4 linked regions of the Caenorhabditis elegans genome follow. The protein of the gene in region 3 purifies or fractionates together with the protein of the main gene of each other region. This does not show direct contact. Each region holds a gene or a part of one and is shown on either strand. Other genes may lie near its edges.

The links.
Region 1: the proteins of ipp-5 (region 3) and F46G10.1 fractionate together in Caenorhabditis elegans (co-fractionation; one large-scale study listed by BioGRID). This does not show direct contact.
Region 2: the proteins of ipp-5 (region 3) and Y37D8A.2 fractionate together in Caenorhabditis elegans (co-fractionation; one large-scale study listed by BioGRID). This does not show direct contact.
Region 4: the proteins of ipp-5 (region 3) and cyn-15 fractionate together in Caenorhabditis elegans (co-fractionation; one large-scale study listed by BioGRID). This does not show direct contact.

Annotation. Positions count from the first base shown.
Region 1 is NC_003284.9:13,308,420-13,313,880, forward strand, and holds F46G10.1 (BTB domain-containing protein), read right to left. Parts: upstream 3,337-5,461; 5' UTR 3,308-3,336; coding exon 3,236-3,307; intron 3,156-3,235; coding exon 3,097-3,155; intron 3,053-3,096; exon of another isoform or gene 3,046-3,052; coding exon 2,934-3,045; intron 2,712-2,933; coding exon 2,586-2,711; intron 2,049-2,585; coding exon 1,881-2,048; 3' UTR 1,808-1,880; downstream 1-1,807. Other genes in the region: srxa-8 (G_PROTEIN_RECEP_F1_2 domain-containing protein), read right to left, coding at 1-102, 157-270, 318-426.
Region 2 is NC_003281.10:12,817,725-12,827,231, reverse strand, and holds Y37D8A.2 (Putative phospholipase B-like 1), read right to left. Parts: upstream 7,092-9,507; 5' UTR 7,087-7,091; coding exon of another isoform or gene 7,000-7,086; 5' UTR 6,975-6,999; coding exon 6,906-6,974; intron 6,147-6,905; coding exon 6,022-6,146; intron 5,972-6,021; coding exon 5,892-5,971; intron 5,619-5,891; exon of another isoform or gene 5,468-5,618; intron 5,458-5,467; coding exon 5,190-5,457; intron 4,801-5,189; coding exon 4,692-4,800; intron 4,647-4,691; coding exon 4,511-4,646; intron 3,915-4,510; coding exon 3,611-3,914; intron 2,581-3,610; coding exon 2,047-2,580; intron 1,711-2,046; coding exon 1,620-1,710; 3' UTR 1,581-1,619; downstream 1-1,580. Other genes in the region: Y37D8A.25 (PH domain-containing protein), read left to right, coding at 7,000-7,086, 8,038-8,219, 8,352-8,508; arx-5 (putative actin-related protein 2/3 complex subunit 3), read left to right, coding at 9,136-9,244, 9,301-9,374, 9,420-9,494. UniProt on the Caenorhabditis elegans protein: Putative phospholipase.
Region 3 is NC_003284.9:6,028,752-6,035,706, reverse strand, and holds ipp-5 (putative type I inositol 1,4,5-trisphosphate 5-phosphatase), read right to left. Parts: upstream 4,239-6,955; 5' UTR 4,236-4,238; coding exon 4,143-4,235; intron 3,784-4,142; coding exon 3,604-3,783; intron 3,553-3,603; coding exon 3,326-3,552; intron 3,279-3,325; coding exon 3,215-3,278; intron 3,171-3,214; coding exon 3,027-3,170; intron 2,978-3,026; coding exon 2,796-2,977; intron 2,742-2,795; coding exon 2,429-2,741; intron 1,697-2,428; coding exon 1,670-1,696; 3' UTR 1,224-1,669; downstream 1-1,223. Other genes in the region: hsp-25 (SHSP domain-containing protein), read left to right, coding at 1-38, 604-727, 850-960.
Region 4 is NC_003279.8:13,565,523-13,574,848, forward strand, and holds cyn-15 (peptidylprolyl isomerase), read right to left. Parts: upstream 6,526-9,326; 5' UTR 6,515-6,525; coding exon 5,927-6,514; intron 5,174-5,926; coding exon 4,520-5,173; intron 3,545-4,519; coding exon 3,395-3,544; intron 2,321-3,394; coding exon 1,931-2,320; intron 1,032-1,930; coding exon 924-1,031; 3' UTR 791-923; downstream 1-790. Other genes in the region: grd-15 (Ground-like domain-containing protein), read left to right, coding at 507-790; nyn-2 (Zc3h12a-like Ribonuclease NYN domain-containing protein), read left to right, coding at 6,857-7,448, 8,434-8,636, 8,694-9,119.

The sequences.
Region 1 (5,461 bases), 7.3 Mb from region 3:
TAGCCAATCGATTGACTGTCATTAGCACAGAAATGCAAAGAGAATGGAAATACGAAAATGTGGCTCCAAGACTAAATTGAGCACCAAATGCTGTCAGATAGTCTAGAAACGTCAAATGTTCGAATATGTTTTCAGAACTCTCCACAGGCAACTCACTTTCATATTCTTCCTCAGTAAGGAAGGCAAAAGCAGCTACATTAACATTAAGGAAAACTGTAATTAGAATTCCGGGAATGCTCATTAAAACAATATAGGCCAGTGGGAGTGCAGCTTAAAAATTAATTGAATGTAATTGACTCCTAAAATTCAAAAACTACCGTTCCGACGATTTATTATTGTTGCTGTGAGGAGCACAATGTTGTAAAGCATGCACATTGTTTGAAGTATTATCATAAAAATTAAAAACAGTTGATACTTCGGTGTCATTTTATCGAAAATTGTTGAACGCTTCAAATTCGATTAGGAGAGAATGTAGAGTCACAACTGCTGAAAAGGGATATAGACTGAAATGCGAGAAAAACGTGACAGAAATTGAATCATGCTGAATTGCGTGACAGTGATAAAAATGTGTTCGAAACTATTGGATTCTGAGAACAATTTCTCCTATTCGCAAAAGCGCCCACTAAATAAAGGGTTTTATGAGTTAGATATAATAGTGTGATTCGCAGAAAAAAAAATGTACAGGGAAGTAGAACGGAACCTCTGAAACTGAACTTGCGCACATTCTGAAAAATTTGGGTTTAGATCAAAATCGTATATTTTCGAAATTATCCGACTGGTTGATTATCAAAATAAATAAACTTCATCATGTAATTTGTCTCCAACGAAGCGTGTAAAAATATTACACGTACCATGCTGGTCAACATGGTGCTCAATGATCGTGCTTTGATATTAAACGTGGCAAAATGTTCCGGGTTCCGGGTCACATCTTGTAAATATTTCGTTGTAAATAGTTTTAACTGCAGTCGTAGAAACTTAAGTCTTAAAGAGTTTTATTGCAAAATATTTGCAAATGTTTATGTATTTTTAATAGTTTTCAAAAGTTTAAAAAAATCAAAAGAATTTTTAATAATAATAACGATTAATTCATGGCAAGATAACGTTTCATAGCGCATGTTCACATGGAGCTCGAATTTTTTAAGTATCTTTCAACAAACTTTCAAAAAAAGTTGTTTACCTATTGAGCACACTGAACAGAACATTGTTACTTTTTTAAGTCTGCACAAAACAAGTAAATAGATCTATTTTAACTGCAGGCAAAAAATAAACAGTACACGAAAACATCTGTATTAGTTTTCAGTTGCAACTGCAGCGACGCAGGCTTCAAGACACAAAAAATTGCTCAGAAACAATGCTAATTAAGAGCGCAAGACTAATTTATGCGAGGAAACTAACTTTCGAGAGAGATTCAGGACAACCAATAAAGTCCCCCCCCCCAATCAAAAATATTAAACGAAATATTTTTCTCCACATTGCTGATTTAGAGCAATTTTCCGAGTTGTATCTTTTATCAGTTTTGACTTGGTTTTCAGAAATCTGTAAAAGATTGAATATAATTTAGTTTTTGAAAATCGATATTTTCTATAGTTTTTTATGGCTAATGTAATTGAAGTTTAGTAAGACGTTTTGATTTTCGATAACTCGATTCTACCGATTTTTCTTAATTTAAAAGTGTTCAGAATTTTAAGCACATCTTTTTGGTTTCAAATGTTCTCACAAGGATCACTAAAAATAATTTGAATATGATTACTCCATCCCCCAAGTCAATTTTCAACGAACACCAAATTCAACAAGTTCGTTCAGAAGTACACACAATTTTGCACTTTATTTCCGTTATTTCATGGTCATTAACAAAGTTATTCAGAAAGAGGAAGTAAACTTCAAATGCGTCCTCCATTATTGTAGTACGTGTTGTTCGCAATTTGGTTCACCGAATTGCGAATATCCACAATATCATTGGTGTTGGCACGTTGTTCCTTTTCAATGTCAACAAGTGTCTCTTGAATTAGGTACTTGAATACCTCCATGCCAAAGAAGTCTGCTTCTCGCTGGAAAAAATAAGGGAAGTTTATATGTATTGTCAATTCATACATCATTGGAGTTATTTTCAAATTAAAAGTTGTGATTGTTTTCAATAAATTGATTTGGTGTTTCAAGATTCATTTAATATACACACTTATGTATGCTACACATTTTTTGCATAAATCTCATAGTTTCTATTTTTTATGATTGTTGACATAGTTGACATTAGTGTTAATCTTGTATTTGTTGGTTTTTTTTCCATATTGCACTTTGAATTAATTTTTGAATGATATTTCCTGGAAAAAACAATTTTTCAAAACATATTGTTTTTCCTTAACAATATCATAAAATAGTAACTGCACATGACTAAATTGTATAACTTAATTTTCTCTACCCATGCCAATTGATTAGGTATACCAATATTCGTGACACACAATCGCCAACACATAAATACCCATAAAACACAAGGCACACCTCGGTGTACCTCTAGTAAACAAGCAACTGTGCTTATCAATGACAACGCATGGTTAAGAAGGCGATGAAATTAAACATGAAACACCTACTTTGAGCTGTGCTAACACGTCTTTATCTTTTGGCAGGACAGTGTTCTTTCCGTCTCTCATAAATTGCAGAACGAATGCAAACAGACGCCCGTCCCGGTTCACGAAGATTGCTCCTGACTCATCACGCTGAAATTTGTATTGAAATTTTTTTAGAGAGAGCTATGAGGATTAAAAGCATTCTCTTGAAATTCAGAAAAATAATTCTGAAAAAAGCACAAGTAAAAATTGTTGGAAGTTTTTTCAGTAGGATTTAGGCTTTCAGCTAGCTTCTAGATAACCTAATAGTCTCCAATTAAAAAATTCTGCATCCTCATTAGTATGTATATTTATTTCTAGATTGTCACCCACAATAGTTCTCTGTTGAAGAAGCACAATTTTTCCACTGGTGCGGTCGATGCGGATAAAGTTGAGGAAATATGACGACTTTGACTGTGCCAAAGTGTCGTAAAGTGTAGTAAATCTGAAGCCTTCGTTAAATTCTCAGATCTCATGTTCTCAATTCCCAACTAACCTTGTGCCGCCTGCGTTAATATGCACTATGTCTCGAGCATGATGAGATGTGACTTCAGCCTAAACATAGTTTTATAATACTCCAATTTTCTCATTAGCTGTACAATTTATTAGAAAATTGAATCAATTTCAAGACCCACCTTTTTATAATCAGCATACTCAGCGGTATGCATATCCACACCATTTGAATGAAGAGAAGCTCTAGCTAGCATTATTAGTCAAACCTGCGTGTCCTGTGAAAAACGCGAGCAAGTGAAAATCGAGGTAATAAAACTCAATGGTCGGTTGTGTTATCAGTGACGTTAGGAAAATTTTTGAATTCACCTTGTGTCAATAAGAAGATACCATCCCATTTTCAGATTGGCAACACGTGTGATTCAACACTTTTGAAACATATAAAGGTACCTATTTTCGAAAAAAAAATCTTATTCGTGTTTAGAAAAAGTATATTGTTATCACTCAATAATAACCATTTATAATTGATCTAAAATTTAAATGAAAAAGTGAATAATATTAAAAGCGTGGCAAAATTTGAATAGTTTTTTTTGAAGCTCGCTCTGAAAAATGCCAAAAAAAACAGGCAAAGAAATATGATCAAGAGTGCCAATTTTACGAATTTGGACAAACCGTAAATATGTCAATGTAATTTTGAAACACGTGTTATTCAGGAAACCGCCAACCAATCACCGAAGTATGTCGTCTCCTTTACGTAACGCTGATTGGTCAGTGCCGTCGCATGATTTGCGTATAATTTCAAAATTTAATTGAAGTATTCATTCACCACTTGACTACTCTCAAAATAACACAACCTTTCATTTTTTGAATAGTAATTTTTGCACTTGTATGCTTATTCTAACTGGCGCCATTCTGTTTTTAAAGTTTTGTTTTTTTCACAGTTTTTGAACAAGCGGTAGGAAAAAAATCGACAGTTGCCGGTTTTCGTGCCAACAGCTCAGTCTGCTATGTATGTTCACTGAAAAAAAATTTATCCTGCAATTTCAGAACTACGAAAGTTGTTCAGGAGTAGCTTGCAGCTCAATGACGATAACAAGATGTTCCAGATCATAAAGTCAAATGAAAGTCAATTATAATTGATATTTCACTGGCAATTATTTTGTTTTTTTTTTGTTATTTTCTTCACAATATGTGCGGCTGCAGCACTATCAAATTATGTTTTATACCGCCGTAAAACTTTTCTGGCCGAAAATCTAATCTCGAAAATAATTTTTTATTTGCAAAAATGTCACTTGTTTAATCTCGCACGAGAAGTGCGAATAACTAATTTCACGTTTTCATGAGTTATTTTCTTGATTAAAACAAGGCTGCTAAATTGAAACAACAAAAATAAAAGTTACCGTACACCAAACGAAACAATATGAGATTTTGATTGGCATTTTCATGTTTTTCAAAAATAATATTTGATTTCGAAATTATGTTTAAAGGAGGACTAACGGTTCGGACGATTTTGAACGTATAAGCCAAAAATGGGCCCAAATGAACGAATTTCGTAATGAAACTGCTCAAACAATTTTCATAAATTTTTTATGGCGGTTCAAAATTTCGAAAAAATGACGCTGATTTTAGCTAAAATCTCTAATTTTGCCCATTTTTCCGTGTCACATCTGTCCGAAATTGCTTTTTTGGAATTATCACCCTTTATTGCATATATTGGTAGTTTATCTCATTTAATTTCCTTGATTAAGGTACATTTAAAGCCGATAGCTAACCAATTTTGATGATTTTTGCAATAAAGGATGATAAAAGCAATTTCGGACAGATGTGACACGGAAAAATGGGCAAAATTCGAGATTTTGGCTAAAATCAGTGTCATTTTTTCGAAATTTTGAACCGCCATAAAACATTTTTGAAAATTTTTTGAGCAATTTCATTACAAAATTCGTTCATTTGGGCCCATTTTGGGTCGATACGTTCAAAATCGTCCGAACCGTTAGTCCTCCTTTAACTGCCTGAACAATTTGTTAAAATTTTAGAGTGACATTTATATTTAAAAAAACAGAAGAAACTATAATTTTTGTTTATTATGAAAAACACTTTTTAGGATATGAGTGCGTTTTTTTTTTCTGAAAGAAGCCATTTCAAAAACCGAAACTAAAACGATAATTAACTTACTTCAGTGTCCATTCGCCTTTTACTTTTTGTTGCTGGAGTCCATTTAAACAAAGTTTGCACTACTTTTAAAAGATATTCACTCCATAAAAATTCGAAAAAAACTTTTAAAGTGTTTTTTTAAACAGAAATTATACCACCAACAAACGGATGAACCGGGAAGTGTAAAAGTTTCAAAAAAAAAATAATGCAATTTCTATCAGTTTAGTATGCGTTTTCATGTCAATCTAGGGTTATTC
Region 2 (9,507 bases), on a different chromosome or scaffold from region 3:
GGTACTTGAGGCCGTCTGTCAAAAAGAGAAGAGGTTTTCATCAAAAAGTAGGACACCACCACCACCGTCATTTCTTGGCTACCAGACAATTTTCAATTTCTCTTTTCAACACACAATATAATACCTGGACACTATTCACACTTTGAAGAATTTACAAAAAAAAAATGTGGTAAATTTGGGAAATTTACAAAAAAGGTTTACGGTAGTACAGTAGCGTAAGATACACAGGAAAAATCAGCTAGCAGTCAGAAAAATTGCCGTGCAATTTCTTGGCGTAAAACATTTTTTTTGCGTAAGAAATAGTTTCAGCGGAATTTTTGAAACTATTTTTTAAGTTTAAGTTGAAAAAAATTCCAATAAACTATTGCAATAAAGGATTTAAAAAACCAATTTTAGGTGCAACATACAAAAAAAAAGAATTTTTTCCAAAACTACAGTAGCCCTACACTACCACAATTTTTATAAAACTACAGTAACCTTACAACAAGCTTAATGTATTTTAATTTTAACGAAACTACAATAGCCCTACAGTATCCCTACTGCATCACTACAGTACCTTATATTTTGCTACTACAATTTAATTTTTAGTTAAATGCAAAAAAAAAATAGTTTTTTCCAAACCTACAGTAAGCCTACAGTAATCTTACAGTACCACTGCTGTACTTTAATTTTTCTAAAATAGTAGTACCCCTACAGTAGCACTACAATATCTTAATTTTTACAAAACTACAGTAACCCTGCAGTACCGCTGCTACAATTTAATTTTTAGTTAAATGCAAAAAAAATAGTTTTTTCCAAAACTACAGTAAGCCTACAGTAATCTTACAGTACCACTGCTGTACTTTAATTTTTCTAAAATAATAGTACCCCTACAGTAGCACTACAATATCTTAATTTTTACAAAACTACAGTAACCCTGCAGTACCGCTACTACAATTTAATTTTTAGTTAAATGCAACAAAAAAAATAGTTTTTTCCAAAACTACAGTAACCCTACAGTACCACAACAGTAGCCCGAAACACGTGACCAAATGCTTAAAACTCAATTTTTCCGAAACTACAGTAATCCTAGAAGTACACTACGAAATCACTACAGTACCTCGTCAGTACCACCAATCAATATTTTTTTAAATGCTCGAAACCTAATTTTTTCCAAAACTACAGTACCCAAACAGTGACCCTACAGTACTAGTACAGTATCCCAACATTATTTCCTACTAGCCTTTCCAAATGCTCTAAACTCAATTTTTAAAGTAACCCTACACTATCCCTAAAGTATCACTACAGTACCTTAATTTTTTTCCGAAACTACAGTAACCCTACAGTACCACTACAGTACCTTAATTTTCCCAAAACTACAGTACCCGTGCAGTAATCTTACAGTAACCCTACATTAGCCCAATAGTACCACTACGGTACCTTGATATTTCCAAAACTACAGTATCCCATCAGTATCTCTACAGTACCACTACAAAACCCTAATTTTTTCAAAACTATAGTAACCCTACAGTATCACTACAGTACCTTAAATTTCACAGATCTACAGTAACCCTACAGAAGCCGAAAAACTACACTTTATAGAAAATAAATGATTGCTTTATTAATTTAAAGAGAAAAGTTTATAGTGAAGACAATTCCTTGTGAAGTTTTTGGTAAAGATGGTAATGGCGGTGAGCATCTTTTCTCCATTTGTAGGTCACTGGGGCAAAGCTGAAAATACATATTGTGTTATTACGGGACCAAAAAATTCTGAAAATGCGTATCGCACAACATATTTGACGCGCAAAATATAACTATATATCTCGTAGCGAACACTACAGTAATCCTTTAAATGTCGATTTACGGGCTCGATTTTCAAAATGAATTTTTTTGTGATCGAGCCCGTAAATCGACACCAGCGCTACAGTAGTCATTGAGAGAATTACTGCCGTTTTGGTGTCAGAACGTCCCATGTCGGTTTGATCTTTTGATCTCCGAGAATTGCGGGACCGCATTTTTTGTAGATCAAGGGACATCCTGACACCACGTGAGTGTTTTGCTCCTTACTTCCATCTATCCGGTTGCCCAAAATGTGGCACTTTTTCTCTCAATGGACTGGTCTTCCAATCGAAAATTGGCACATCTTTAGTAACACCTCCAGGTGGTCCCGATACAGCAGTAAATTGCAGACTATTGATAAGTTTTGAGTTGGTGACCTTCACATCAATAGCTCCATGATCCCGGAAACCAAGCGACTTGAATGGGTACGTTCCATTGAGAGGATTCAAGTCAGAACGGCATGCAATCGCGTTTTCAGCGGAATATGGTGGATTACAGTCACACTTGGAAAGTGGATCCTTTGTATAGTTATTTGATCTCATAAGCGCAATCATTGAGCTCATATCAGTGACTGTATTGTGATCTCGTTTGAAGATAAGAGCACGTGGTGTCTTATCATAACTGTACCAGTCACCAAACTTTTCCACCATTTTGTCAGTGTCAGAGAATCGAATAATTTGTTTGTAGTATGGTTGATTGTAGCCTGGCCAATAGGTTTCACGGAATAAGTGGGCTGTTTTGTCGGAATGGACTATGTGGCCTCTGGAAATTTTGGATTTTTCAGGAAGTTTGGACCAAGGGTTGGCGGCAAACGATTTTTTTCCGGCAAATCGGCAAACTGCCGGATTTAAAATTTTCGGAAAATCGGCAAATCGGCAAGTTGCCGGAATTGAAATTCCCGGCAAATTGGCAAACCGGCAAACTGCCGGAATTGAAATTCCCGGCAAATTTTTCAATTTCTTTTTAATTCAAAATTTCAAAATTACAAATTGAAGGCAAATGGGAAAATGATTAAAAATCATAATAAAACTTTCAAAAAATTTGTTGAGAAAATTGTTTATTTTCAGTCAATAGGAGAATTTTTTTTTGTTTTTGGAAATTGTCGATTAAAAAAAAATAATTTTTTATTGATTGAAACAGGGGTGGGCGGCAAACGATGTTTTCCGGCAAATTGGCAAACCGGCAAAATGCCGATCTGCCGAAAAATTTCAGCAAATAAAGGTTTTGCACGTTTTTTTTAATGTCAGAATTTTATTTTAATCGGCAAATTTGTACGCATCTTATGAAAATTATATGAAAAAATCTAAAGAAAACGGGAAAAAATTTCAAAAAGGCACAGTTTTTAGTGTTTCCGTTTTATAAAAATCCCTCTAAAAACTTCCCGCAAATTAATGTTCGGCAAACGTTTTCAGTTTTGGCAAATTGCCGGTTTGCCGGAAATTTTGATTTTAGGCAAATTGCCGATTTGCCGGAAATTTTGATTTTTGGCAAATTGCCGATTTGCCGGAAATTTTCATTTTTGGCAAATTGCCGATTTGCCGGAAATTTTCATTTTTGGCAAATTGCCGATTTGCTAATTTGCCGACTTGCCGAAATTGTAGACAGAAAAATTTGCACTCCTAGGTACAACCATTTCAGACTAGGCAGGCGCAGGCACAGAAAGCTGCTGTGGCATTTTTTTTAAATTTAGATCCCCACGAATTCGTGAATAAGATTTTTTGCGGCCTACAGGTAAAGCCTAGTCTCTGTAGGCACACAGGTAGGCATGCCTACAAATAACTATAAAACTCACGGCATTTGCTCAACAACATGAATAATTCCAGTCTCTGGCTGAACTTCTTTTCCTCTATGGAACTGTTTATAGTCAACAACCACCCATTCATTATTATAAGTTCCACTATTATGTCTCCCGAATGCTTCAGCCCATTGTAGCCCAGATGAAGCCGTTCGGTGAGCAATTTCAGCACGAATCCAAGTGAGAACAGTATTTGGAGTGATAAGGTCGAGCGATTTTTCATTGTAATTTCCAATTGTTGTTTCAAGGATTGCAAGTTTGGCAGAGGTCAGAACAAAATCATCAGTAGATGTGATGGAAGCTGGAAATTTGAACTTTTTGAGGGATTTTGCTTCTAAAAATTGAAATAATCCTAAGCCTCCGATTAGGCCTAAGCCTAAGCCTAAGCCTAAGTCTAAGCCTAACGCTTTGATCGGCCAACGGGAACCCTTTGAAAAATTAAAAAAAAAACGCTGTAAACACAAGCCTAAAAGCTGACGCTCGCCACTGACGCCAAGCCTAAGCCTAAGCTTCAGCCTAAGCCTAAGCCTAAACTTGAGCCTAAGCCTAGGCCTATGCCTTAGCCTAAGCCTAAGCCTAAGCCTATGCCTAAGCCTAAGCCTAAGCCTAAATCCAATCAAAAACCTAACCATAAGCCTAAGCCTATGCCTTAGCCTAAGCCTAAGCCTAAGCCTAAGCCTAAATCCAAGCCAAAGCCTAAGCCTAAGTCAAGTTCAGAAAACCCCAAAAATAACGGAGAAAAATAAATATCCAACTTATAAAACCACCAATTTTGAATTACCTTCAAAACGAAAATCGCGACCAATCAGCGATTCGCTCCGCCCACTCTTCAACCAATCAGAGCAGAGCAACTCGCTCCGTTTTCTTTTGCCACTTTTTTTCAGAAAAATGATCTACCTGGATAACTGGAAAACGAGTAAATCTGTCCTGGATCTCCAGTTTTGAATGAGTATTTCTTGTTAATTCGAAGCATTGTACCGTATGAAGACCACGTGACATGAGAGAAGAGAATATCCTCGTTTTTCGGGAGAAGCTGAAAAAAATTACTTTATAAAACTAAAACCTAGAGAAATTAAACCTTAACAAGCGCTGAGCAATGTCCTGGGCCTGAGAAGACTTTCTTCGGATTTTCTGGTTTTTTAAATTTCATAGCGAGATCCTCGAGGTCGCCGGCGATTTGAATCATGCTGAAAAACAGTCAGACGTTGAAAAATGAACCACCCACAGAGCGGCTTTTACTACGTGGCCTAGAAAAATCAAAAACTCGGCCAATGATTTATCTGGGATTTTTGACGTGGGATGTTTCTGAAACTTGACGAGAATGTTCTCGAAAGGGGGTTCTATAGTTCCACCGTGGCGATTTTTGCGAAAATGTTCCGTATCCATGTTATGAAGGTGGCCGAGTTTTCTTATTTTACGGCCACGTAGTAAAAACCGCTCTGCGCACCGAAGGCGTAATCTAGACATGGTGAATCGATAAAGCTTTTTTTTGAAATGACAGTAATCTTTAAAGGTGCACAGATTTTTGCATTTGAAAAAAAAATTGTCGTGTCGAGACCTGGAAAAAAGAGCTTACAAAATCGGATGCACAGCAATCTGCTTGAAATCAATCTCTGCTCCCAGCTGGTTTTCATATCCATGAATCAAACCAAAAAGCTGATTAACAGTCAAATTCACTTGTTGCCAGTACTCATCTTCCGGATTTTCCCTGATCTCCTGCTCCATCCACTTCAAATTGTCAACCATGAACTCACCGAGCTCATCGCAAAAATGCTTCGCTCCGTCACAGTAGCCGTTGACGGTGTTGATGATGTGAAGATCGATGAGGTGACGGGTGGCGCGACCTTAATAATTGCTTAAATAATTTTTTGAAATTTCCGTTATTGCAATTGCGCTCTAATGAGATTTTGGCTAGCTTACCAATAGTTAATAAACCCTGCCATCATAAAAAAATGTTTATTTTATTTCTCTAATATAATTCTCTTTACGTAAATTTTAAATTTTCCGTCGAGTTTAAACTAGTCTTATTGTTAAGCTTAAATAAACCTATTAAAGAGATTTCAGTGCAAACGACACTCCAGTATCCCGCATGCGCGCCATGTTTCTCGTAAATCTACACATCATTTTTTTATTTATTTCATTTATTTTTGCTTAATTTTATGGATTTTAAAGCGTATTTTAACTTATTTTGTTCGGTTTTTTGCCAGAATATGTAAAAAATTAAGCTAAATTCATTTTAAAAAAAGCTAAAAATTGTAAAATTTGAAAAAAAACTTACCCTCAGCAAATCCTGCAGCATATCCTTGCAAATAATGTGGAATTTTCGGGCTGATCACATCGACTTCGAGGAAAGCCCATCTGAATTGCACGAAATTACAACAATTTTTTGGTTTTAAGCCCAATTTTACCCAGTTTGGTTCACTTCATCATGGAAATAAGCGGTGGCAAGACGTTTTGCACACAGCTCTTCGTCAGTTTTTCGGCCTTCTTTGAAATAATGAAGGTCGCCTTCAGGCTTCTGGCAAACTGTGTACTGAAATATTGATTTTTTTTTTAAATTTTTAAAGGTGGAGTAACACAATGACCGAATATCATGATAAAAAATTTTTAAAATTTTTCTAGATTTTATATGATTTTTTGAAAATTGAAAAAAATCTCAGTTTTTGCCTAATTCCTATTCAAATTACCGCCAATTGGATTTGTTCGATGGAGCGCGCTTGCACGATTTTAAATTTAATTATTTTATTTTATTTTTTGTTACTTATTTTCCACCGATTTTCAATGTTTTCGGTGTATTTTTGCTTGGATTTTGAAGAAAAAGGCAAAATAAATGCAAAATTTCGATTAAAAAGCACGCTTACAGGCGTAAAAATGAAAAAGTAACGCTTTTAAACGATTTCACACCTGAATTAATTAATTTCACTGATTTACGCCTGTAAGCGTGCTTTTTAATCGAAAATTTGCATTTATTTTGACTTTTTCTTCAAAATTCAAGCAAAAATACACACCGAAAACATTAAAAATCGGTGGAAAATAAGTAACAAAAAATAAAATAAATAAATTTAAAATCGTGCAAGCGCGCTCCATCGAACAAATCCAATTGGCGGTAATTCGAATAGGAATTAGGTGAAAACTGGTTTTTTTTTAATTTTCAAAAAATCATATAAAATTTAGAAAATTTTTTTGAATTTTTTTATCATGATATTCGGTTATTGTGACCCCATAGGCGTGTTTTAAAGCAATTTCCCCCCACTGGCGCTACTCCACCTAAAAAAATTTCTTTAATTCTTACCGTTCTCTCCTGTCTCGCCTCACAACCAATCGCCACCGCAGCAGCCAAAAATATAAAAATCCAATTCATTCTCCAGCAGCACCACACACACGATATGCTCGCCAACGCAAATTCACTATTCCGGCTGGGTTCGGATCCGACGTTTGAGAGAAGATTTTCGGGACCTTTGCAGTTGCAGCAGGTACTGAAGCAGTTGTTCGGGAGACGGGGCATGGCACCACAGACATGTCAGGTGCTCCGTGACCCTTTGACCTCGTGAAAAAGATAAATATTTTCGCGTTTTCGTGGAGATCAAACCAATTGTTAGGTGCTTTAGAGTTTGATCGTCTTGTATTATTACAGGAACCCAAAATTCCGAAAATGCGCACTGCACAACATATTTGACGCGCAAAATATTTTTTACTGTATCTAGATATTTTGCGCGTCAAATATGTTGCGTGGTACGCATTTTCAGAATTTAGTCGTTCCGTAATAAAAGTGGAATTGCAAAAAAGTTCCAAAAAATAAAAAAATGAAATTTTTTATCATATTTCAGCTTAAAATCCGCCAGGGCCATTATCATTGGAGCGCGCCATGTCGCGTCGATTTACGAGAGATTTTGTTTGCAAATTTCAGTTTTTCAACAAGTTTTCTATATTTTTCGCGTTTTTTTAAGTGAAAATGTGAAATAATTTTATGATTTTTAAAATTTGAAAAAAAAAATTTTTCAACAAAAAAATCAAAGAAACTTGCAAATTTTAGTTTCTTTGATTTTTTTTTTTTGAAATATAATTTATTTCGTGTAAAGTGAACGAAACTTACTGATTTTTCAATTTTTAAAATAATAAAATACCCAAATTTACACGAAAAAACACATTTTAATTTAAAAAAACCGAAGAAAATGAAGAAAACTGGTTTAAAAAACCGAATTTGGCTGCAAAAAAACCCCTCGTAAATCGACATGGCATGGCGCGCTCCAATGAGAATTTTTCTGGCGCGAGTTTGAAAATTGTTTCGCGCTTTCAAGCTGAAATATAAGATTTTTGAAATTTTTTGAATTTTTTTAAAACAAAATATGGGAAATTTGGAGTAATTTGAAAATTTAAAAAATCAAAAAAATGATTTTTTTATTAAAAAAAAAAGTTTTTTTCAGGATTTCCAATGGCGTGCCGGCTGGGGTGTTCTCAAGGCCAATATGCTTTTCGTGTACAATAAAACCGAAGAGGAGACGTCGGCTCCTCCATTTTTACTACTAATTATTGAAGACTGTTTTATCGAATTATGTGATGAGAATAAGATTGGCAAGGATTTCACTTTTGAAATCAAATTCAAATCGTGCGTTTTTTCCGGGTCTCAACACGAAAAATTAATACTAAATTCCAAAAAAAAACTGAATTTTTATCGGTTTTATCGAAAATCGATGAAAAATCGATTGAAAATTCCTAAAATTATCCGATTTTTTTCCAGAACTGCTCGAAGCTTCATCTTCGCCGCCGACTCGTTCAAATCGCTGGGACGTTGGGTTTCGCTGCTCACAATCTCCCCGATCGACTATATACAGCTCTCGAAACAAAGTTTTCATGAGCAAATCGAGCAAACTCAGAAGAAAGCGATGAGGGATTGATTTTTATACATTTTGCACATTTTCACTGTGATATTTTGACTTATTGATTATAAATCATACATTTTTAACGTTTTTTGCTTTGTTTTGCAGCTGGAATTTCCCTGAATTTATCGTTTTTTTCGCAAAAAATCGCGAAATTTCATTAAAAATTTCCAAACGATGCTCCGATATTCCGATGTCGCGCCTTGTTTACCGTAAACTTACACGAGATTATTATTTATTTTTCCGTTCCTGGAGAGAATTTCATCAGAAAAAACGTTTAAAAAGCAGAAAATCTTTGATTTTTTCCAATTTTTCTTAAATATCTGATTATAGGAAACTTGTAAGCTGATATTAATCATATTAATTCCAAGTTTTCATATATTTTAACACGAATTTCCGAATAAAAGTGTATTTTCGGGTTTTACTTTAATTTTCGCGTCCGCAACGACATTATCGCTTCAAAAACTGCATTTTTATCGAATAAAATACTTATATTTTAATTTAAAACTCGAATTTCACAATTTATCGATTTTTTTTCGCAGCCGCAGTGACTCATTATGTACTTACCCCCCCCCCCCCTCGGGTATCCGAAAATAAGCCGTTTTCTATGCATTTTTCCAAACAAAACACTTATTTTTCAGTGAAATGCCGGCATACCACTCAAAATTCGACACTGAACTCAAAGTTTTGCCATTGGGCAACACAAATATGGGAAAACTTCCGATTCGAACCAATTTCAAGGGTCCAGCGCCTCGTAAGTCTTCAAAAATTGATTGAAAAAACCTATATTATATATTAAAATTATTGCAGAAACCAATCAGGATGACATCATCGACGAAGCGCTCACCTACTTCAAGCCGAACATCTTTTTCCGCGAATTTGAGGTTGATTTTCGAGATTTTTCCCTATTAAAATTGAGAAATTTTCAGATCAAAGGTCCCGCGGACCGTACAATGATCTATCTCATCTTCTACATCACCGAGTGCCTCAGAAAATTGCAAAAAGTACGGATTTTGC
Region 3 (6,955 bases):
ATCAAGGATGAAAGTGATGGAAAGACTCTTCGTCTCAGGTACTTTTTTGAGGCATTTTCAACTCTTAGATTAAGTTAAAAGATTCAAATTTTATTCGAAAAATATTAAAAATATAATTTTAATTCTGTATTTACCGGCCTCAAACTATTCAAAATAACGAACTCAAATTTTATAAATATTCTGAAAATTATCTAAATGTTTCCGATTTTTCAAAACTTTCAGACAAAGTAGTGAAAAATCTCCAAAAGTTAAAATCTTTGAATTTTTGTGATGTTCAAATAACTCGTCCAAGTTCAAAGCCAAACAATGTATGAATGAAAGTATTGAGGAAAAAAATCGCCTTAACTTTTTCAAAAATCAATTTCCAAAGTTGAAAAAATATTTTCAAAGTTATTTTTTTAAATTATACATAAAAATTTTACTCTTATTCCAAGCATGAATATCAATCACATTTCATTTTGGTTAGCTCTAAATTCAACAAACTCATAAAATTGAAATTTCGAGTCAAAAAAATCTGTACCATAACCGAAAAATTGATAAAACTTATTTTTTACCAGTCAAGAGAAAAACTGAATTTTTTATTTAACAAAACTGAAATTCCAGATTTGACGTAGCTAACTACAAGCCAGAGGAGGTTACCGTCAAGACTATTGACAACCGTCTTCTTGTCCACGCCAAACACGAGGAGAAGACCCCACAACGCACCGTTTTCAGAGAGTACAACCAGGTGGGTGTTTTTTATTTTTATTTTAGAATTCAAACAGTTCTCTTGGGGCTAAAAATATGGAGCGAGGCCCCAAGGTGTCACTCTTCATTCAGTTGCATTAATCTATACAATCAAATTTCCAGGAATTCCTTCTTCCAAGAGGCACCAACCCAGAACAAATCTCATCGACTCTTTCGACTGATGGCGTGCTCACTGTCGAGGCTCCACTCCCACAATTGGCAATCCAGCAATGAAACCAAAAATATCGCCGCCTGCTTCCTCACCAACCCGAATAACGCAACAAAAACTTTACATTTTTCTAATAAATCAACTTTTTCTTGTAGTGTAAATCATTAAAACTTGTAGACTCAACCATAATCCTTTCTTTAAACATGTTTACGATTCATTTTCCAATTCAATCCGCTTCATTTTTCAATACATTTAATACCTACAAATCTTATTGGTTGTTCATCAATTTTCTGGAGTAAATGTTCATCTTTTCATTAAATCTATAATAAGATCGCAATTTTATCAAATGATTCGTTTTAACAATTGATTGATACTGATGGAAAGTGTCAGGCAAAGCAAAAAGTGTATAAGACTAGCAATACATCACTGAAAATGGAGAGAAAAAGAAACAAAAAATCGATTATGATAAAAATTGTTTTAAAAAGTTAAAGAGTTCCCCGTGCATTATATGAAAATAAAAAGAAAAAAGAAAAGAAACACGTTTCTGATCATTCAATGAAAAAATAAATTTTCTAGCGGAAAAAAGCGAACTGGGAAAAAATGGAATTTTGATAGAGTTTGAAAATTGATAGTAACAACGAGAACAAAAAGTAGGTATTCGAAACTCAGAGTTCGCGCAAGCCAATTTGAAAATGTTTATCCGTAGCTTCGAGATGAAGAAAAAAAAAAAGAAAAATGGAGGCTGGCCAAAATGAGGGAAAATGGAAAACCATGTCAGATGTTGAATGTTAGCATGACCGGCTGAAAAAATAATAATTCAAATTTTTTTGTTGATTAAAGAGTTTTAGAATTCAAAAGATTATTTAAAATAAAAACTAAAACGAGGTCTTAGTGTAGTTTTTTTTTAACATATTAATCCAATGTAATCATCATAAAGCTATTCAAAATTATATTTAAAACATGTTTTTTTTTGATATTCAAGTATTCAGGAAAGTTGTTTTCAATTTGAACACAAGTTAACTTTTATTTTGTAATTCTGAATAATTCTTTGAAAAAGTTTAAAAATAGTATTATTTAATGCTGTTCAAGCTATTTTGATATACTGTTTAAAAAAAAATTTCAAATTTTTTAAATAAAGTTTTTTTAAGGAATTATTTTTATAGCAACAACAAGTTGTTGAAAATAGTCTGAATATAATATCAAATTAAATTCACTCGAATTCTTAATAAAAATTTGACATGAATTTTCCCATTTCTTTTTCACAGCTTCCAGTCAACGTTTTCTAGTCAACTAGTCAACGACAAACTGACAAATCTTGAATAAAAATGAGTTAATTTGAGAAGTTTCAATCATTTGTGAAGATTTTCAAAACCTTTTCAAAGCATTTTTTTTAATTATAAAATCTGAGTTAAAAAAAAACCAAAAAATCTGTTAAAAAAAGATATTTGTCTCTCACTACATAAAACTACACTAAATTATGTCATTGTTAAATATAGTATTTTAATAAAAATATTCCAAAAATTAGAATATTACCTTATGATCTCCAGTACAAGTTTCCATTCCAAATGACCTATACTGAGGCTCTCCTTCTTCCACCAACGAGTATGCATTTTTATTCATCAGAACCCGATCACACCATGCGGGTGCCCTAGTCTTCATCAGAGTTTCGGAATTTTCTGGATCTTCACTCCACGGGTATGTTGGAGGGAAATTTATATGCATCTCAAACATGCTCTGAAAGTTTTCGGTTTCTTTGTCGTCATCTCTGTACGATCGCCAGTCGTCCAGTAGTTTTTTGTGATTGAAATAGTCAAATTTCTTTTTTTCGATCCGTAGAACACAACTGCTGAAATTTTAATTCTTTGGTTCTTGTTTAAGTTTGTACTTTCAATAATCATACTTTTGACTATCATCGCTATCCGATTCTCTGCGGAACTCAATAGCCGAAACTGTCCTCCTCAAATTTTCGGATGGGTGGGTGATTACTTGAAGATTTGCAGCCGAAGCCTGAAGACCATCGGCCAGGGAGCCCATCTGCTCTTGGTCGGCGACTGGATGTTGAGCAGTACGTTCAGTTAAGCGCTGAAAACATCTTTATTTGTTTTCCAATTAGCAATTTGTCACCCATTACGTTTAAGAAAGAACGAGAGTCCAGCCTAAAATTGAGATCACCAAAAACAAAGAGCAGAGGCGTGCACCCGTTTTCCTTTGACGAAAGCTCGGCGAGCACAAAGTCAAGTGCTCGTTTCCGGTTTTGGCTGTATAGTTGTGGGTTCTGAAAACACCTTATATGCTCTGAACATTTTCTTTCAAACAAACCTCATGAATAAGGGCCAAGTTAGATTCGTCGTGAAAGAGATGTGCGTTAACAAAATCGAAAACTCTGAAAAAGGAATTTACTAAAAAAAAAAAAAGAAAACTGGGACTAACTTGTTTTCAATTTTCCACCTTGTTTGCATGTATCCTTTACGTCCCCATTTGATAGAAGGCCAAAAATCTTTAGGAAACTTGTGTTTGACGACGTATGGGTAGTTTTCCAGCCCATGAGTCACTACTTCCTTCGGGCTTGTCAATTGTTCGTATTTCTTTGTGTGAAAGTTGAATTGAGAAACGTTCGACCACAAGGATCTTTTTATAAAGCACAATGCTCCAAGAGCCTGAAACAAAGAATAAATTTTCAGAAACAACGATTTTATTGTCATTCTTACTGTGTACTCAATAGCTTCATAATCGATGTCAACGTATGCTCTGAGCAGATCAAATTTTGGTAGTGCTGTGGAGAGACGATTGATGATAATTGGGACTTGCTGTGAGCATTCAGTAAATTTTTTTCCTCCGGTTTCTTGAAGATGTATGACAAAGAACGATGGGTCAACACTTTCAACTTGCTAAAAATTTTAAAAATTACTTGTATCAAATTTATTACTTGAGTAATTTCAATGTTTCTTGGAAACATATTTTTAAGAAAATCGTATCAGGAAAGTACTGACGGTAAGGGTCAAGTAAAAGAAGCATCAATGCGAAAATGTTACTAAATAACCAAAATATCGATGGAGCCAATTCAAATGTAATTCAATAATTTTGGCTTTCACACTTGTATTTGAATTAATAAATCACATTCGCAAAACATAGGACTAATTCATTTGTAAAAAACTATGTAATTCTGAACCAAAAATCTGACTATGAGACATTGCGTGAGTTCGCTATGAACTATTAAATTTAATACTGCAAAAATATTTAAACATACATCCGCAACAGTTTTAATCCATGAAGTGTGCAACCGAGCATCCGGCTCGAACAGCGATCCGACGTTCGCCGTTATCAGCAAATATTGAACCATTTTCTACAATAGTAACAGTTCGATTGAAAAGTCGAGTGTTTAGAACAAGAGCTTGAGCAAGAGAAAACGAGAAAGTTATATAACAATAAAACGAAGTTAGGGTTGTGGGATGTGCAATATGTGACAGCGAGATTTAATTTCAAAACGGAAAGGAATTCATTGAGATGGATAAAAACAAAAGATATAAATGCACGCTATTGTGTTTGCTCTTTGATGAATTGTGCATTCAGTGAGTGCTGCAGAAACTTTTTATTGAATAATGCTCAGTAATTTTAGTGAGAAAATGCTAAACAAGGAACAAAATGTCAATCATTCAAATTATCTGTAAATCAATTGACTTACTTTTTTTTCTAATGAAATTAAGTTGCTTGAAAATAGTAAAAAATTCTATCCGCAAACAAACGAATAGCATTGCCCAAGGACGATGTGTAATGATATATTTCTACCTTGTAAGGAAACCTCTTTGAAAAACGGGTTTCGGGTATTGAGGCGGGCCCAGGTCAAAATTCAAAACCTCCTAGAAATAAATTGCGTCTTGCCGCCTTTTTTTTCGTACTGGAATGCAACTAAACCAACAACAATGTAAATTGAAATGACAGAATCCAATTTACTGCTAACTTAGTTGTTTCTTTTTTCGGTTTTTTTTTCAGTTTTTTTAGAATTTAAATTGTCTTTATTCAAAAGGTTATATCAAAAACAAATTAACTTGGGAGCTTAGTGACTTAACTCGGAGTGCAAAAACGTCGGAAAACAAAATCGACACACGACGAAATTATGCATGAGCACGAGCTACATATATAGAGAAAAAGCGAATAGTTTTAGAGAAAAAGTGGAGAGGGCTTTCGCCCGAAAATTGCAAGCTGCTCGGCATGAGAAGAAAGAACAACAACACATGATTTGAATTTTCGATTTCTCCCAGCATCACATTTCTACACACTTGGTAGAAAAATTAAATTTATATTGTTCCTTAAGAAAATTAAAGTTTTGAAAATGGGTCAATGAAAGTTCGAACATTTTTTGAAAAAAAATTAAACAATGTTTAACGAGTCGAGCGCCAAGTGGCAAATATTTGATGGCATTTTTCCCTCTTTTTTTTTTGCTCGGATGACAAAATTGTCAACATCTCGGTTTGTCGTATTGTGAGGTTTCCCTCCAGCAATTCGATAATCTTGTGCAAGGCAGTAGACGTCTCGTTTTTTATGAGAATTTGAGCTTATTCTAGATTTCGATGGGCTCTTCTTTCTCAAGAGCAACATCCACTTAAGGTTTCAAACAAAAAAAACGTCATTGAATGGTTAAATGTTAAATTGAACTTTTTTTAGTATTTCCTCGTTGGATTTATTGTAAAATTGTCAACGGACAAAACACTTGTTATTTCTTAGAAAAAAGTGTAAGGGTTAATAGCCAACATCAATTGGCCAAAAATATGTATTTTAATTAGCAAGCTGTTCAGGTTTCCATTAAGAACATTTCTGAGTTTCAGGTTTTTGCGGTATATTTCAGTATTAAAAATTTGCCAGTTTACAAGAAGGGAAAAAATAATTCTGAACATTTACTAGCTTTGTGAAAAAAAAACTTTTTAGAATTTTGTTTAATAATAAATATTTTTTAAAATTTAAATTAAAACTTTAAATTGTATTTTTGATAAAAACAGATGTTTAATCAGGCAAACTGTTCACTTGCTACTTTTGAGCTATTAATTTTTTCTACATTAAAAAAGTGGGGAAAGTTCAACTTTTCTCTTGACCATTTTGTAGTATAATTAAATTCAAATTATTCATAATACATAAAACACTATAGTGGTTCACACCTGCATCAGTGCTCGAAATTTCTTTTTAAAAAACCAAATTTAGAAAATTGGTATATTTCCTAAAACTTGGGAACATATAAAAATTTTAGAGTGTTTTGGTTATGGACTATTATAAACATAGTTAGACAAAAATTTCCACTGACGATTCTTTAAATTTTAAATGTTACATAAAAGTTTTTTAATGAGAACTGTGATAATTTTTCGTTAGTAAAATACTAATTTTTTGTTTTGAAGAAAACACTTACCAAATCTTATCAGACGTGACTAGGTTTCACAAAACATAAAGTTTGTTAAATATTTTCCTTATGAGACTGTCCAAAACACATGATGTCTCCGATCAAAAAATTAATGATTACCAAGATCAACAATATGTCTTCATTCGAACTTGTCAAAACTTCACAGATTAAATCAGACTCTCTGCATTGTTAGGTGAGGTGCTTCCATTTTTTGACAGCAAACATCGATTTGTCGTGTCGAAGAAAGAAGAAAAAGAAGGTCGCAACACAATATGCAACACAAAAAGAAAAAATGAAGAGATTCTTAAGGATGGATAATTAGAGAATGTAGAAAACAACGCGGGGGCAAATTGAATGTAAATCGGAATTTGTTACATTACAACAGCGCAGCTCACATGCTGCTTTACGTATTCTTCAGTAGTTACATGCTCTCGCATCCGATGATTTGTGTGTCATTTAGACGTCCAAACGACCAGGGAAAGAATAGGTGAAAGGCATTGTCGCAGGGGAGGGGGGGGAACTGAGAACAACAATGCTTGATATTGAACAGCAAGCATCAAAATGATGAAGCAATCGCGTCAGAAGTGAAAGAGAGAATTGGTGGCGACCGACGGATGGGGGAAGATTGAAGCACGAGCACACGCGGAGAGAAAGAGATATTGTCAACACTCGTT
Region 4 (9,326 bases), on a different chromosome or scaffold from region 3:
TATTAATAGTTCTCTGTTACGGTGACTACAAACTACGAAATTAACCAAGCCTCAACCAAGATGAAAAACGTTGGTTGAGGCCCAGAAACTAGAAACTACAAAGTACGGTTTTTTGTCGGAAAAATCGAAATTTCGGGTTTTTAGTCAGTTTTGGGATACATACAATCAATTTTTTAGTCTGAAACTTTCGGAAAATTAAAAAAAAATACTGGAAAAATCGTAGTTTGTAGTCTGTGAGCCTCTACCAAGAATAACTCAAACTTTGTAGTTTAGGAAAAAATTCCAATTGTTTTCAATTCTAGATCTTGAAAGACTACAAACTACAAAACTAACCAAGCCTGAACCAAGCTGAAAAACGTTGGTGGAGGCCCCAGAAACTACAAACTACAATTTTTTTTTGTATTCGTTTTTGACACAAAATCTTGTAGCATTATATTTAAAGCTAAAAACTAAAATTTCGAATTTTTAGGTCTTCAAAGACTACAAACTACAAAAAACTATTCCAGGCTTCATGTGTTGCAACCCAAAACTCGAAAAAGTGATGTCAGAAACCGCTCTGAAAATGAAAAGCTCAAAATCTTGCAATCTTCAAAAAATGTCTTCAATGCTTCAAGCGGCCAGTGAAAAAGCATTCGGTACGGATTTCGAAGCAATCGCTGGAACCGGAGATTTCGCGTCGAAAATCCATTTCTATTCGGATTTCGTGTGTAAAATGGAGAGGGAAGGGAGGACAATGCTCGTTTATGCAACACCAAGTCGACATAACTATGCAATGCCTTATCAATTGTAATTTGATATGGGAAATTAAGAAAATGAGAAATAAAATAAAAATTTTACAGTAAAGAAAGAGATTGAATTGAAAAAATTGTTTAAAAAAATAATTTAAGACAGGATTTCAAACAACGGCAAAATAAAGAAATAAATTATTTCAAACTAATTGACATGATCTGAATTGATTCTCTTGGTCGTCCACTTCTTTCGAATGTCGATACTTGATTGATCCGTTGAACAACACTCATTCCAGCTGTTACCTGCAATTTTTTGAGCATTAGGAGGAAATCTGCGTGGATATCTATATTGAAAATGATTTTATGAAGGAAAATGTGCAAAATGATACCTTTTAGTGTGCTTTTCCAAAAAAAAATTCTTTGGTTTTTTTTTTTGGTTTTATACTATGGTTCTATACTGTGCATTAATATAGGTTTTCCAATATTTTAGAGAAAAAAGCTCTAAAGTTTTGGCATATTTATACTTTTCTTTAATAAAAAATTGTACTTTTTCTCATCTACAAATTAAACAAATTTTAATCAAAAAAAATTTTTTTTTTGTTATTTTTTTGAACAAGTTTTTTTTTGATTTTTCGATATTCCGGAAAATGGAAAGTTGTGACTTTTTCGAATTTTTTGTGAAAGTGCATATCGAGTTTAATAAATTGTTTTTTTTTAATTTTTAATGGGATTTTTTTTTCAAAAAATCACTTTTTTCGAAACACAATTTTTACAAAATTAATAATGTTTTGAAAAACTTAAAAATCTGCAAGTTTTCAAAATTTCGTATTTATTTTTTCATTAAAAAACCTATTTTTTTATTATGGAAAATTTAAAAATTCGTATGTAATTTATATATTTTTCTTACAACATTTTTCTTACGATATTTTTCCCAGAAAACATTTTTTCCTCTTCCTTTTCTGTTCAAAAATAGGTTTTTTTTTGGTTTTTTGGTCGAATTAAAAAGAAAGGAAAGCAAAATAGCTTTTAATGAAATTTAGAATAATTTAATTAATTTTTAAAATTTTCATCAATTTGAAATACGGTCTACTGAAAAAAAACTGAAATTTTAGACTTTTTTTTTCAAAAAACACTTTTCTCTTCCTTTTCTTGTTTTTTAACAGCGTTTTCAGGTAACATTTTTAAAATTTCTCTATTTTTACCTCTCCAAAAAGAGTATTCTTTCCATCCAACCAATCAGCCGGGCATACAGTAATAAAAAACTGTGATCCATTCGTATTTCCACCACCAGCATTTGCCATTGAAACTTTGAAAGGTTTATCGTGTCGAAGTCTGGGATGAAATTCATCTTCAAAATCTTCACCCCAAATTGATTCTCCACCAGTTCCTTTTCCAGATGGATCACCAGTTTGAATCATAAATGATTTGATGACTCGATGGAATGTTAGCCCATTATAATATCCACGACGTGAGTGGGTACAGAAGTTTTCAACGGTTTTTGGACATTCATCACCGAAAAGACGAATTGTGATATCACCGAATGATGTATGGATTATTGCTTCTTTATTCAGTACTTTCTCACCTCCTTCCGTCTGTAAAATATTAAATAGTTTTTTTGTATAAATGGATAAAAATTCACGTTTATATATGACTACTATTTTTAAATGAAGTATATAAATATAGTTATTATCGAAAAAACACGATCGCAAATTTTTCTCATAATTAATTTTTGATCTACCTTGTTGACTAGGATCCTCCCACCAAAACGAAAATACAACAGCAACAAGATTAGGGGCGGAGTTAAGTTCCAAAGGTAGATCAAAAAAAGCATATTTTTCGCCGACGCCGACAGCCGAAACGGGGCCGATTTTTCGGCTGTCGGCTGACGCCGACAGCCGACAGCCGCACAGCCCTGTTGACAACTTGCTGGAATTGAATAATTTCCGGCAAACCGGCAAACCGGCAACTTGCTGGAATTAAAAAATTCCGGCAAATTCGCAATTCGCTGGAATTGAAAAAATTCCGGCAAATTCGCAATTCGCTGGAATTGAAAAAATTCCGGCAAATCGGTAACTTGCTGGAATTGGAAAATTCCGGCAAAGCTGCAAACCGGCAATTCGCCGAAAATGAAAAATTCCGGCAAATCGGTGACTTGCTGGAATTGATAAATTCCGACAAATCGGTGACTTGCTGGAATTGATAAATTCCGGCAGACCGCCAAATTGCCGGAATTGAAATTTCCGGCAAATCGGTAAACCGGCAACTTGCTGGAATTGAAGAATTCCGGCAAATCGGCAACTTGCTGAAATTGAAAAATTTCCGGAAAATTGGTAAATTGCTGGAATTGAAAACTTCCGGCAAACCGGCAACTACCTGGAACTGGAAAATTCCGGCAAATCTGCAAACCGGCAATTCGCCGAAAATGAAATATTCCGGCAAATCGGCAAATGCCGCCCACGCCAAATATATATGCTACTTTAAAAAGCATTATACGTTTTATGGCAGGATTACACTACAAACTACATAATTTTTCAATTTTAAAATACACGTGGCAAATACTTTTGTAGTTTGTAGTCACTAAAGCCTCAACCAATTTCAAAACTACATCAGAGGCCTAGAAATTTGTGTAGTTTATAGTGCCTGAGCCTCAACCAACAAAACCATACATCCAACGCTGTCAGTAGATCCTCCTTCTTTGGCCTCTCATTAAACACATCTCTTCCGGAAACTGACGGATTTCCTTCATCGTCTTCAACGTTATACGGCTCAGTGTTCGTGAATAGGTAGAATCGATTTTTACGCAGAGCACAGCAGACCTGAAATTACGGAGAATTTTGTAGTTTGTAGTTTGTAATTTCAGCCTCAACCATGTATTTTGGGGGGCTTAACTTTATTTTTTCAAAGTTTTTTTCCCAAAATTGTGCAAAAAAAAATGATATATTGAGATTGAAACCAAAAATTGAGTGTAGTTTGTAGTCTAAACTGTTTCACAGGCATAAATTCGTTTTTTACTGCAAAAAAATAAATAATTTCTGAAAAATTTTATCGAAATTAGAAAAAACTGCATTTCTTGATATGAAAATCGTTAAAAAATTCATTAAAATCTTGGTTGAGGCTGAGCGACTACAAACTACAAAATTGCTTAGCCTCAACCAAAAAACATAGTTCATTTTGAAGTTGGTAGAGGCTAAATGACTTGTAGTTTGTAGTCTTAGCCTCAACCAAGATTTTTCTTAGCCAAAAAAAATGTCATTTTTCCTATTTTTCGACAATTTTTTCAAAATTCAAAAACATTTTTTCCAGGAAAAATTGAACATTTAACGAATTTTTCAAATGAAAATGTCACAAAATTTGAGTAAAACTTATTTTTTTCAACATTTTCCCAAATTGTTCTAAAGAGAGTTGGGATTTGCAAAAATCAGTGTAAGTGTGTAGGTTGTAGTCTAGTTTTTTTTTGATTTTCAGAAAAAATGTTCTCGAAAATAGGAAAACACTTTTTTAATATGAATTTTCGTTAAAACTTCATTTAAAAAATCTTGGTTGAGGCTAAGCGACTACAAACTACAAAAACTGATAGCCTCAACCAAAAACAGGGTGCATTGTTGGTAGAGGCTAAACGACTTGTAGTTTGTAGTCTTAGCCTCAACCAAGATTTTTCTTTGCCAAAAAATGACATTTTTCCAATTTTCGATAATTATTTTAAAGTTAAAAATACTTTTTTTCAGGAAAAATAGAACTTTAAATGATTTTTCGATGAAAATTAATTTTTTTAAATCGATAGCTCCCCGTACCATCAACGGATCCGGATCGGTTTTCCGGTTAAGCGTCGGATTATCAGCGGCCGCCGTTTCCAGCGTGATCGCAGCACCCTGAAGCTTCTGCCGAATGTCTGGAAGTGCATTACAGAGTGAAACAGCCACAAATCGAATAGCTTCATCCCTTCCAATGGTTCTGGAAACCTCATTTGTCACCAAATTGAACACTTTCACACCAATTGGTGTCGGGTAGAGAAGGAAATTTCCAGATTGATCAAAACAGATTTTCGTGTATTTTAACGAGTTCTTCTTGTCTTTATCCATTTCTTTTTCCGATGCAAGACGCCGACTCCATTCCATATGTTGTAGGCCGTAATTCTTATTTTCTTTCGCTTCGCAATGATATTTCTGTGTTGTTTCATCGATCAGTTGCGCCAATTTTCCGGTTTTTACATTGAAAATTCGAATTTTTCGATCCTCGGCAAACGTGGCTAGCTTCAAGCCGGACGGGTCAAAAGTCGCACATACTGGAATCGTTTTCGCCTTTACAAAATCGTAGAGATCCGTTTCTAGCTTGTATTCCCAGGTGAGTTTCGTCTCGGGAAACTGAAAATCTCCACGTTCCCCGTTCCAGCATTCGATCATTCCCGACTCGTCGATTGACACAATTATGTCCAAACTTTGACTGTACTGAAATATGAGAGAGTTTTGTAGTTTGTAGTGGCTTAATAGGGATCTTTTGAAATTTTTGCAAGAAAAATTGATTAAAAACCATCATTTTCAGAGCTTTTTCGGTCAAAATTGAACGTTTCCACGTGGATTTTGTTTTTGGTTGAGGCTGGGGGAAAGTTGTAGTTTGTAGTGTGAGCCCCAGCTAAGAATTGTATTTTTGTCAGAAATCCACGTGGATTGCGTGAAATTTTGGATTTTTGCCGGTTTTTTTATATAAAAATGTGAAGAATAACACGAAAAATATCATTTCTTTCGAATTTTCCGTTCAAAATTAACAATTTTGAATTTGGTGAGGCTATAACATTGTGTAGTTTGTAGTCTCTGAGCCTCAACCAATTTGATATTCAAAAATCACTTCAAAAATTCAATTTTCTTTGATTTTTACTTGGATTTTCCGTGAAAAAGTGTTTATAAGAAAAAAAAAATCAGAAATTTTGAACATTTTCTCGGTTTTTTCCAGGAAAAATCAATATTTCCACAAGGATTTTGTGTTGGTTGAGGCTGTGGAAAAGTTGTAGTTTGTAGTGTGAGCCTCAACCAAGCGTCATTATCAGAAATCCAAGTTTTTTTTTTGGGATTTTTCAATGTGGAAAATTCAGAAATCACAGAAAAAATAAGTAATTTCGCGACTTTACAGTGAAAATTGGAATGTTTTCAGAATTGGTTGAGGCTGGGGGAATGTTGTAGTTTGTAGTGTGAACCTCAACCAACCTCAATTATCTTGACTGGCGTCGAATGAAGCTTGTCCTTGATACAAATCGGAGCGGCCGTTGCTTTGCCATCGACAACAATGATTTTTCCAGAATCCGCGGCTCCAATAGCCAAATGTGCGATCGGATCGTTGCTTTGATGTACCCAATTCGCAGTTTTCGGCGGGAAATCCAGCTTTATCATGTTAATCATGTCGAAATTCTCGATATCGAACACTTTTACGGATTTATCCGCTTCACAGACGGTCGCTAGCAGTGTACCGTCTATATTTGCACAAATATGTGAGAATTCACTCAAATGACAACGGAAATGCTTGACAAACTCGACTCCTTCGGAATGCTTCTTTTTCCAGAATTTCAGGTGTCCATCGACGCTTGCAGTGATTATAAAATCGGTTTTTGTCGCGATAACGTGAGAAATTGTGTCCCGATGCATAAATGATTTCTCGTATTGGGAAGAAGACGGGATTGAACGCAAAAATTCTGATTCATGCTTGAGTTGTGGCTTTTTTGGGGCATCTGGAGCATTTTCTGGTGGATTTTCGACTCGTTTTTTTTTCGGTGATGGTTCCTTGAAGACTGGCTCCATTTTTCAAAGCTGGAAATTGAAAAAATTTTGATTTAAATTGCTAGAAACTGGAAAATTCGATTCTAAATTTGTGCAATCGCGGAAATTCGAATGGTGTAGATTTACGGTAAACAACGCGCAACGCGGGATAGTGGAGTGTCGTAGTTTTGTTTTTTGTTTTTTCCTGAATTTTTCCTGAATTTTCCCTGAAAACTTATAATTTTACATGATTTTTCCTTTTTAAATTGTTTAAATAAGTGTTGTTTCTAATATTTATTAATTATAAACGATTCTTTAATGCTAAATTGCTCCATTTTTAGCCAATTGAAGCCCATCTTCGTTCAAAAAAAAAAAAAATTACAGATGGACCCGCCACGACCACCAGGCACTCGTCTAGTGCTCAATACAGCTGGACATCTGATCTCCGTCCCCGAATCAATGTTCGATCAGCCGAGCACCTCATTCTGGGGAAATGGACCAACTTCAGTGCCTGTAGATGATGAATGTGATCGGGAAGAACCAGCGACACATCAAGAAAGCTCAGAAAGTGATTCAGATTACAGTGACGGAGAAGAAGCAACTCCTGAGCAATGGAAAGAGCTCGATAAGGAACTGGACAAAGTTGTAGCTTTATTGAAAGAATATGAAGCGGCAAAAGTGACGGAAACTGATCCAGTTAAAAGATATAGAAATCTCTGTCAACTTTCGACCACATTGAAAACTATAAGTGTAAAAGACGGTGGATGGAAGATTCTACATAAAGAGCATACGGAAAAAGAGAAATTGGCTCTTGATAGAGCGAATTTCGACATTTTAAAATTCGTTTATGCTAGACATGAAAAAATTTTGGACGATGGAAAGTCATTTATTACACGTTTTGAGCTGATAGATGCAAAAATTGCGGATTTGATTTCTCGATTTATTCAAATGCACGGCGAGCATTCATTTCGAGCAGGTATAGTTTGTAGTGTGACGGCTTAAAAATCAAATTTTAGAAAAAAAAACCATCCCGAAATCGAGAAAAAGTGAAATTTCCGATAATTTTTGAGCTTTGTGAATGGTTGAGGCTAAAAGATTCTTGTAGTTTGTAGTCTCTTAGCCTCAACCAAAAACGATTAAAAATTTAGATTTTTTTAGTGAGGCTAGAGAATTCCTGTAGTTTGTAGTGTGAGCCTCTACCGAAAAATAGTGAAAATTTAGGATTTTGGTTGAGGCTAAAGGATGTTTGTAGTTTGTAGTCTGAGCCTCAACCAAAAATAGTGAAAATTCAAAATTTTGGTTGAGGCTAAAGGAGTTTTGTAGTTTGTAGCCTCTGAGCCTCTACCAAAAATAGTGAACTTTTTGGTGAGGCTAACTTATTTTTGTAGTTTGTAGCCAAAACTAATTTTTCTCTCAAAAATTCAATGTTTCGCTATTTTTTTCTACGAAAAAATCATTTTTTCAAATTAGAAAATTTAGAATTTTTGGTGAGGCTGAAAAGATGTTTGTAGTTTGTAGTCTAAGACTCAACGAAAAATAATGAAAGATTAGAATTTTGGTTGAGGCTAACAGATTCGTGTAGTTTGTAGTCTCTGAGCCTCTACCAAAAATAGAAAATTTTTTTGGTGAGGCTAGCTGATTGTTGTAGTTTGTAGTCTGAGCCTCAACGAAAAATAATGAAAATTAAGACATTTTGAGTGAGGCTAACTTATTTTTGTAGTTTGTAGTATCCAAAACTATTTTTTTCTCTTAAAAAGTTTAATTTTTTTTTTTTCTCAAAAATTCAAAATTTGGTTTTTTTTTCGAAAAAAATTGCTTTTAAATTAGCAAATGAACCAAAAATCAAATTTATGTAGTGTGTAGTGTGCGCCTCCACCAAAAAGTGCCAATTTAGAATTTTTGGTGAGGCTGAAAAGATGTTTGTAGTTTGTAGCCACCCACAAAACCCTCATTTTTTCAAGGAAGCCTCTCTGTCGCCGTTGGTTTTGACGAATTTCCACCTGAATTAACATGGAGAACCACTCCAACCAATAAGATTATAATGCTTCGGCCAGTCGTCATTGATGGCGTTGCAGTGTTGAATGCCACAATGGACGATGACACGTGGATGCCCTTCATGGAAATCACCAAAAACTGCAGAGACTGGATTTATGAGCCTGAGTTGGTGGGTGTTTGTCACTGGGCTTTTGGGCTGCTTTTCTCTCAAAAATACAATTTCCAGAATCTTCCAGTCAAACCATTAACCGATATAATTCTTCTATTCCTGATTCGAGGTCACAAAACCACTGTATATCTTCCGAAATACTATCAGGAATTTCTGTCAGACTGTGGAGTCTCGAAAGTTGATGATTTGGTGGCTTTCCAGAAATTAATTGATCTGGGCTTTATTAAATTCCTGGAGATCACTAATCCATTCAATTTTAAATGGTTCAATGTAGTAGCAGACTTGGCTGATCGCTGTGGTGCTGTATTTGTGTCATCAGAGGATTATCGCCAGAGAAAAATGAAAATAAATTATTCAAAACCGTCGGGAAGGATCATTACGCCGTGCTTTTTGAATGCAGAAGACCGGTTATTGGTTTTAGATCCAACAATTCGGTATAGAAAGCCTGGAGAGAAGACGTATACGGTTATTTCGTCGGATCGGGTAAGAATGGATCACACACTACAAACTACAAATCGCGCTGAGCCTCACCGAATTATCAATTTTCGGGGATTTTTTTTAATTGAAAAACGCCAAAATGTGGCATTTTTTAAGGAAAAATTGTGAAAATTATTCTCAAATTGCCGAAAATGTATAAAAACACGCTTTCAAACAATTTAAACACTTGAAAAATGGTTTTTAAAACACTTT